2 linked regions of the Callithrix jacchus genome follow. Each later gene encodes a partner of the first gene's protein in a complex. Links are inferred from orthologs where the notes say so. Each region holds a gene or a part of one and is shown on either strand. Other genes may lie near its edges.

The links. Proteins that work in one complex are often made in the same cells at the same time.
Region 2: the proteins of NTRK1 (region 1) and NGF are in contact, whole or in part, in a crystal structure (PDB 1WWW), measured with the Homo sapiens proteins. The link is inferred for Callithrix jacchus from reciprocal best matches to the Homo sapiens genes NTRK1 and NGF. Residues at the interface, in NP_002520.2 of Homo sapiens: His291, Val294, Glu295, Met296, His297, Cys300, Pro302, Phe303, Ser304, Leu333, Glu334, His343, Gly344, Cys345, Arg347, Thr352, His353, Met379, Asp380, Pro382; in NP_001424474.1 of Homo sapiens: His125, Pro126, Ile127, Phe128, Arg130, Gly131, Glu132, Phe133, Ser134, Ser138, Ser140, Trp142, Tyr173, Phe175, Arg180.

Annotation. Positions count from the first base shown.
Region 1 is NC_133519.1:17,273,666-17,277,165, reverse strand, and holds part of NTRK1 (high affinity nerve growth factor receptor), read right to left. Parts: intron 3,357-3,500; coding exon 3,339-3,356; intron 3,169-3,338; coding exon 3,113-3,168; intron 2,823-3,112; coding exon 2,720-2,822; intron 2,202-2,719; coding exon 2,055-2,201; intron 1,666-2,054; coding exon 1,535-1,665; intron 1,364-1,534; coding exon 1,191-1,363; intron 1-1,190. UniProt on the Homo sapiens protein: Receptor tyrosine kinase involved in the development and the maturation of the central and peripheral nervous systems through regulation of proliferation, differentiation and survival of sympathetic and nervous neurons.
Region 2 is NC_133508.1:153,317,312-153,321,350, forward strand, and holds the start of NGF (beta-nerve growth factor), read right to left. Parts: upstream 2,801-4,039; 5' UTR 2,501-2,800; coding exon 2,427-2,500; intron 1-2,426. UniProt on the Homo sapiens protein: Nerve growth factor is important for the development and maintenance of the sympathetic and sensory nervous systems.

The sequences.
Region 1 (3,500 bases):
CAGGATAAGCTCAAGACTCAGGGGTCCCTCCTATCTGAGTCCTGCAGCAGCCTGACTGCATAAATGATCCATCACTCCCAACCACACAGCAGTTGCTCATCCAGATCCACAGCCCCTGCTCATTGTCCCTCTGACTGGTGAGGAAAGTGAGGTCAGAAAAGAAAGTTACTTGGCAAAAAAGGCTCAGCTCTTAAGTGGCAGCTGATTCCAAACCCGCTTCTCCCTGCCTTACAAACACCGCCCCATCCTCACGGGAGCGATCTCATCAGGGAAGGACTCCACCGAGGGAACCGATGCCCATCGCATAGGGGTTGAGAGTAGGAGCTGTGCCCGCGGTCACACGACCCCTGGACCATTTGCCACCTGTATGCACTCAGGCAAGTCTCAGAACCTCTCTAAGGCTTATATCTGTGAAACAGGCACGTTTCTCGAAGCTATGAAAATTATCAGCACAAATAGTGAAACATATCAGAGTTGTTCTGTCCAAAGCCAAAGAAATGAATTTTTTTGTAACGTGCTTCAAGTATAAATTGCAATATATGCCTGGAGGCCATAAAAATAAATACATGTTTGTATTACTGTACAAGATATTTTTGTACCAGCACACAGAACCATAATAAGAACGAATTGTAGAGCCAGGTGCAGTGAGGTGCACCCGTAGCCCCAGCTACTGGGGAGGCTGAGGTGGGAGAATCGCTTGAGCCCAGGGGTCTGAGGCTGCACTCCAGCCTAGGCAAGAGAGCAAGACCCAGCTCTAAAACAATAACAATAAATACATTTTTAAAAATAAAAAAGAATAAATTGTAAAGGATATAACAGCACCTGAACATGGAAGGTGCCTTATCCGTGCTCGTTACTGTTCCTATTGTCATTATTAAACTGCCACCCTTACAGGCCTGGCCCTTGTGTGCCACACACATGCACATACACCTTCTGCGAAGCCCACTCACCCCAGAGTTTTAGCTCATGGTCTTGGCCATCGCAACCCCGCTGACTACTGACACTTGTCCTTTGCAAGAGTTACCCCCCATTCACACATCTGCCTCCTCTATCGTCTCAGAGCTCCCTGGGGACTCGGGGATGGGAATGTGCCCTCCTGATCCTCCTTGGTGTCTCCCCTTGGTTGGAAAGACAAGCAGGGTTGTGCTTATCGGGGAGGGATGACGGGGCCCAGAGCCAGGGACTGGTACCGGAGGAAGCGGTTGAGGTCCCCGTGCCGCATATACTCAAAGACCATGAGCAGGGGGCGGCCCTCGGTGCAGACCCCGAAGAAGCGCACGATGTGCTGGTGCTGCAGCATGGTGAGCAGCTCGGCCTCGCGCTGGAAGTCCTGCCGGGCACTCTCCGACACCTCCTTCAGGGCCTGCATGGAAGGGGCAGGGACAGGACTAGGTGGGGGCCCAGCCCTCACTGCTGGCCATCAGTGACACTCCAGCCACGTCAGCCCTCGGCATCTGTCCCCACTCTGTCCTGATGTCATGGAGCTCCTGGGGGTGGGACCCAGGCCAGCGGTGCCTCTTGGGCAGGGTCTCACCTTGACGGCCACCAGCATCTTGTCCTGCTCAGGCAGGAGGTTGTGGCACTCAGCAAGGAAGACCTTCCCAAAGGCGCCCTCGCCCAGCTCCCACTTGAGCACGATGTCCCGGCGCTTGATGTGATGAACACCTGAGGGGCTTGCAGGGTCAGGTGGAGCCCCAGTCTCAGGAGGGCTGGGGTTGTAAGGGGGGACTGTCTTGGCCGAGATGTGTGCTGCACAAGGCTGCCCAGACAAGGGGCTATGTGGGGGCTGAAATTCACCAAGCCCCATGTCATAGTGTGGGGCTGCATCTGCCCAGAGAGGACATGGTTCGGGCTAGCTGTGGCTCCAGGTGGGGCTGCTAGTAAGAGCCAGTCTGAGCTCAGCCTGAGAATATGACAGGGGCTATGGCTGGAATAGGGTTGGAAAGGGAGGGATGGTTCAGGTTTTGGTGGGTAAGGGCAGCACACGCACACCTGCGTGCACACACACACACACACACACTCGCCCCTGCCCTTGACCCAGCATGGCCCCTCACAGGCATCACTGAAGTATTGTGGATTCTCGATGATGTGGCCTTGGAGCCCAGAGCCTTTGCCCTCAGTGGGGGACAGGGAACTGCCACCCAATGTCATGAAATGCAGGGACATGGCCAGCCCGTCCTCTGGAGCCAGCACAGCCGGGCCTGGGGAGGAGACACAGACACATGAAGGGTTTGCCCACACCTTGGCCCTTCCCATCCTTGCCTGCAGGATGCCTGGTCACCCCCACCTTGTAACTTGCAGGGGAGAGACTGAGGAGCTAGGGAGTGAGATAGCAGGCAGGGGGGAGGGGGAGGGGGCACCACCGCCTCTCCCTGTGCTGGCTCCTGTCCCACCCCTGGCCCCATGGGCACCAAAGAACTCCCCCCTCACCCCCACAGAGCCCAGACCTCCCAGACCCACTTAGTGCTTGACTACAATCCAGCCACCAATTAGCAGCTGCCGCCTCTGAAACGACCCCAGCACCAGCCCGACACACACTCACACACACACTCACACAAGCCTCACAGCCAGGCCTTCATTTATACCCCCACACACTCACACGCCCTGGAACTCCCGTGTGGACAGCCCCGAGACAGAGACATAGTCAGGAAGAGCCCGTAGAAACCAAGCCAGAACAGACAGATAGACAGACAGACAGCCCTGTGCAGCTCCAACTCACGGTTGATCCCAAACTTGTTTCTCCGTCCCCATTTGTTGAGCACAAGGAGCAGCGTCGAAAGGAAGAGGCAGGCAAAGACGGCCAGGCCTACAGCCACCGAGACCTGCTGGGGCAGAGGAGAGGAAGGCAGGCAGTTAGACCCAGGGGTTTCTCCTGCACTCTCAGAGATGCCCATCGCAAGCCATATCTTAACCCTGCAGGAGAGCCCAGAGCCAGACCTCCAGACCCACCTCCCCTCCCCTGGGGACCCCACGCAGTGGCTGTGAGGGTGGCAGACAGAGCTCAGGCCAGACGGTAGCGATCTCTCAGCTCAGACCAGAAATGATGCTCGGATGAGCCTCCACCCAGCCTCCCCATCCCAAGGTCTGCGCAAGCTTCTACTTCCTGTCTCACCCCAAAAGGGGTTTCGTCCTTCTTCTCCACTGGGTCTCCAGATGTGCTGTTAGTGTCTGTGGGGACACAGGACAGGAAATGTGGGCCTCGGCGCACCCTGTCGCCTCTAGCAACCCTCCAACCTTGCCCCCAGCTGGCCTCTCGGGGATCAGCTCAGCTGTGCCTTCTACCCTGGCCTCGGTGCCAGAGACCAGGCAGAACCTGCCCTCCACCCTGGGCTACTCACCCACTGGTGAGAAGGAGACTGCAGCAGGAGGGAGGAGAGAAAGCAGTCAGAGGGAGGAGGAAAGCAGTGAGTCCCCTGCCTACTCTGGGGCTCTTTCCTTCGTGGGGCGAGGGTGGGATGGAGGTGGGCTGCTGGGCCTCAAGGGAGAAGATGCATGTGGCC
Region 2 (4,039 bases), on another chromosome or scaffold:
TTTTTCAAAATGATCCACCACAGAATTGATTTCTCGGTACTGGCTAAGCCTGAGAGCTGATAGTTTGTGAGATCAGAGGTGCAAGCCAAAGAAAGACACAGGAATTCTTTCTGTGTCACAGAAAGGTGTTTTTCTGGGAGTATGTGTTATTTGTACACAGATATCCAGAGATTTTTATGGAAGCCCTCAGCAAACCTTCCATTGCCTCCTGAGAGCAGAGGATTTGCTGCCAGCAAAGGTCTCTAAGGCTTGCTCTAGACTCTAAAGTCCCTGAAAGTTCTTACTGGGAAAAGGTATATGGCTGGGCCTCTAGTCCGGGGTCTGACACTGACATCTGCTTGGGGATCTGGGCCTTGGCCCTGCTCCATGCCCAGTAAAGAAGAGCAGTGGCCGAATCTCTGTGGAGTTTCCCTGCTGCTCTGATGCAGTACAGCACTCCATGAATGAGCAGCAGGAGTGCTCAGCACACTTTAAAAAGTAAAGTTGTGTGGTTTTTTTCATCAGTTTAATCTTGGTAATGATGAGAAACTTCCCTCGGGCTCCAGCCCTGCCCTGCCCTACCCTACTCTCCCTGCTGATGTCGGCAGCCAGGGCCCCCTTCTTAGCCAAGGCACAGATTTCTCCCTGAAAGAGAATGAGACTGTGAAGCCTCATCTCTTGCTCCCACTGGTCCTTGGGGTGGGGGAGTTTTGGGGTGGGCAATAGAAGAAGGCAAGAACCTCATTCCTTGGTAAGGGTTAAAAGTAGGGAAAGAGCCACCAACACTGGAATGCCTGCCCTGAGTGGGCCTAGTTCTCCATTTTCCTGGTGAGCCTGGGCTGCTGTCAGAAATGCAGTGGTGCCAGCAGCTTGTTATAAAATCATCTGAGGTACTCCTATACATCTGTCAAACTACTGTTCTCATGCCCCAGTGATCTTGGCTTCCTATTTTGGGTGCTTACCCCCCTTTCCCCCCGCTTCAAGGATTCTCTTTTTCACCCACATAAATGACGTTGGGGAAAGAGTGGGGTAAGAGTTTGGCCACATATGACATTATCCCCCTTCATCAAGAGGAACGTTCACTTTTTATGTGAGTCAATTCCAGCCAGGCCAGCCTCAGCCCCCAGACCCGCCCTACTCCTCTGACCCTCTGGGAACATGCCCATCATGAATGGACATTTGGGTTGCTCAGGTTGACATATGACTTATTGAACAAAAGAGACTCATCAGGTTTGATATAGCCTTTCTTCTGTGATTCTGCAGAGGGAGAAAGTTTCAGACACTCAGGAGGAAACGGTGAACACAGGGTGAGAAGGGCTGGCAGGGGCCAGTGGCTGCTGCCCTTCTGCCCTGCCTGGAGAAGGGGAAAGACTCCCCTCCAGCAGACCTAACTGACAGCTTCAAGAGTTTGAAGACCCTGGAGAGAAGTTACTGGTGGGGCCTCCACTGTCATTTCTACATTTGCAGAATGCAGCTGGCTGTGCATGGATTGGAAAGGAGGGGACTGGCACTGGCGGTGGGTGTGCCCAGAGGATGGAGCCAGGACAATTAATCAAGTGCCTTTTCTACAGGATTTTCATTGGCCTCGGATGACAGATGGGGCAGAGGCACCCAGGAGAGCACTATTTTGGTTTCCAGCTGGGAACGTGCACTAAGTTTTCCTTAATGCCCACAGCACCCAAAAGGCTTTGCTGTAATACACTTTAATGCATGAAAACTCATAAATTATCCTTCGAACTGTTACAACTTCCAACCTGGAACAACTTGCAAAAACCAGCCTAGCAAGCAGGTTCTTTTTTAATCTCTCAAATCACAAGAGAAGAAAAAGCTCAAGCGCGAAACACCTTCCTTAAGAATCTTGGAGTTTTTTTTTTTTAAGAAGGAGGTTTGTAATTAGAGGGAGCTGCTAAGCTGCTTGTTTCTGCGGGCTCAAAGTTGGAGTTCCCTGACCCCTGAGTTCTCTCTCCCTCCCCTAGATCCTCCTCGCCTGAACCCAAGTGCCGCCCGCCCCAACCTTCCACGCCAGCTTCTCCCACACCTGGCAGCAGACAGCTGGAGATGAAGCGTGTGGCCCAAGTGGCAGGGCTGAACCTTGGCGACCTCTGCCTGAGGTTGTCCAGCTCCGCTCCATGGAGGGCTCTGGTATGCCGGACGGACCCCGACCTTGGCTCGCAGGCTTCCTGCATTAGTCCCCAGGCCCCCCAGTCCCGACTCCCAGCCCTTCCAGTCACGCGGAGGGAACTGCCCTAGGTCTAGCCGACCTGCCCGCCAGTTCCCCTACCTGGGGGCAGCACAGCACTTTCCCCGACTCGGCGCGCACCTCGGCCCGCGCGCTCTGCGCTGCCCCCTCGGTGAAGGCCACCACTCCTCCCGCCCCGTGCGCCTGCTGCCCGCGCATCCCTCTCCGCGCCCATTCGCTCTCCCTCTCTTGTGCGTTATCCACTTACAGCCCTCGAGCTGGACCATGGCATGGCTGTGGGCTTCTGCAGACGCCAGGGCTGCCCCCTGGACCGCAGGCCATCCCGGGACTAGGAACTCCACGACCAGAACGAACGCTGCTCCCTCGGTCCGACTCGTCCTCCCGCGAGGGTCCCGCGCCCCCACACCCACTTGGGACATTTCTTAGGGCTGCTCTTCGGCCCTCGGGAGCCTCGGGGGTTAACCAGAGAGCTCACCAGACCGGTATCCTTGCATACTTCCCCGAGAAGCCCAGTCACCCCGGCCCGCGCCCGCGCTGCGCCCCTCTCGGGATCGGCTCGGGGCAGCCTGACTCACCGCTGCGCTCCCCTCCGGCTCCCAGCGCTCTCTGCTGTGCCGGAGCGCCGAGCTGCTCTCACACAGGCTTCTTGAATTCTTAGCCCCTCCTCCCGGACTCTTGAGTCACACACACTCCAATCCTGGCCCCCATCCCTCCCCTCCCCACCCTCAGCCCCGCACCTGCTGTGGCTGAGCGGTGGTGCCCGGCTGGAGGGGGTCTTGGGGACTAGAGACCGATCGCTCCTGGAGGGTTAGCCAGACCCAGCCAGAGAAGGACTTTAAACCTCCAGAGGTCAAAGGGAAACCCACTGGGGCCTGAGGGGCCGCGCGCACAAAGCTGGGAGGGGGATTTTCTGGGGCACCGGCGGGGGTCGTTGCGCCGACTGCCTGGGGCTGGGCGGAGTTGCTCGCAGCTTCCTTCACCCCCTCGCCCTGCCCCCACGCGTTGCCCGTCGCCAGCGCCTCCCTGGTCTGCCCAGCATCGCCCTCGGTGCCCCTGGCATCGGCTGCTCCCCGCACCGATGGTCTAAGGGAGCTTTTCTTCCGGGGTGCTTTTCCTCATCCCGGGATAGGTGAGCACCCAGGGGAAGCTCTGCGACGGCCAGGTGCCCAAGCTCCTCTGACAAGGGAAGGCGGCGGCAGAACCAGCTAGAAGGCCCCCAGGTGCCAGCGAGTCCAGCATGGGATAAGGGGCAGAGGACTTCAGGAGTCAGGTGCTAGACCCCGACCTTAACTTAAGGCCCTGGGTTCCAGGAGCTTCCGGGTCCCTGGCCCCTCCGAAACTGTAGGCTGATTTGTGCGCGGCTGTGTGCAGGGCTAATATTCTTCTCTGTGTCAAAGGTCCACAGCTTTTGTCAGTTTTGCAACGGGTCTGTGACCCCAGACTGACATAGCCACCTAACTTTCTGCCCAGACCCGCATGCTCCTCTTTCCACATTCCAGGACCCATACAAATTCCCCTTTATTCTCACTGCTCCACCTTAAGTGAAGTGGAATCTTTTTCCTGACCCTCTAAGATTTCTTGAGTTCCCTGGATTCAGCCTGGCAGGGTACCTTGCCTGACTTACCCCTGCCCCTCTGCCAGGGCTGTTCCCACCCCAGCCTAAAACTAGCAAGGGAGAAATATCCCTGAAATCAGATTTGTCACCAAATGTGCATCATTAATTGTAACATTCCAGGGGACTCTTAGCTCTTTGGAAATTTCCAGCCCCACTTCCTCCTGTGTTGAGCTTGTTTGTGTCTTCATTTCTTCCTTTAGCAAAGGTAGGTTGGACCTCTACCCCGTGTGGATGCCACAAAGGAG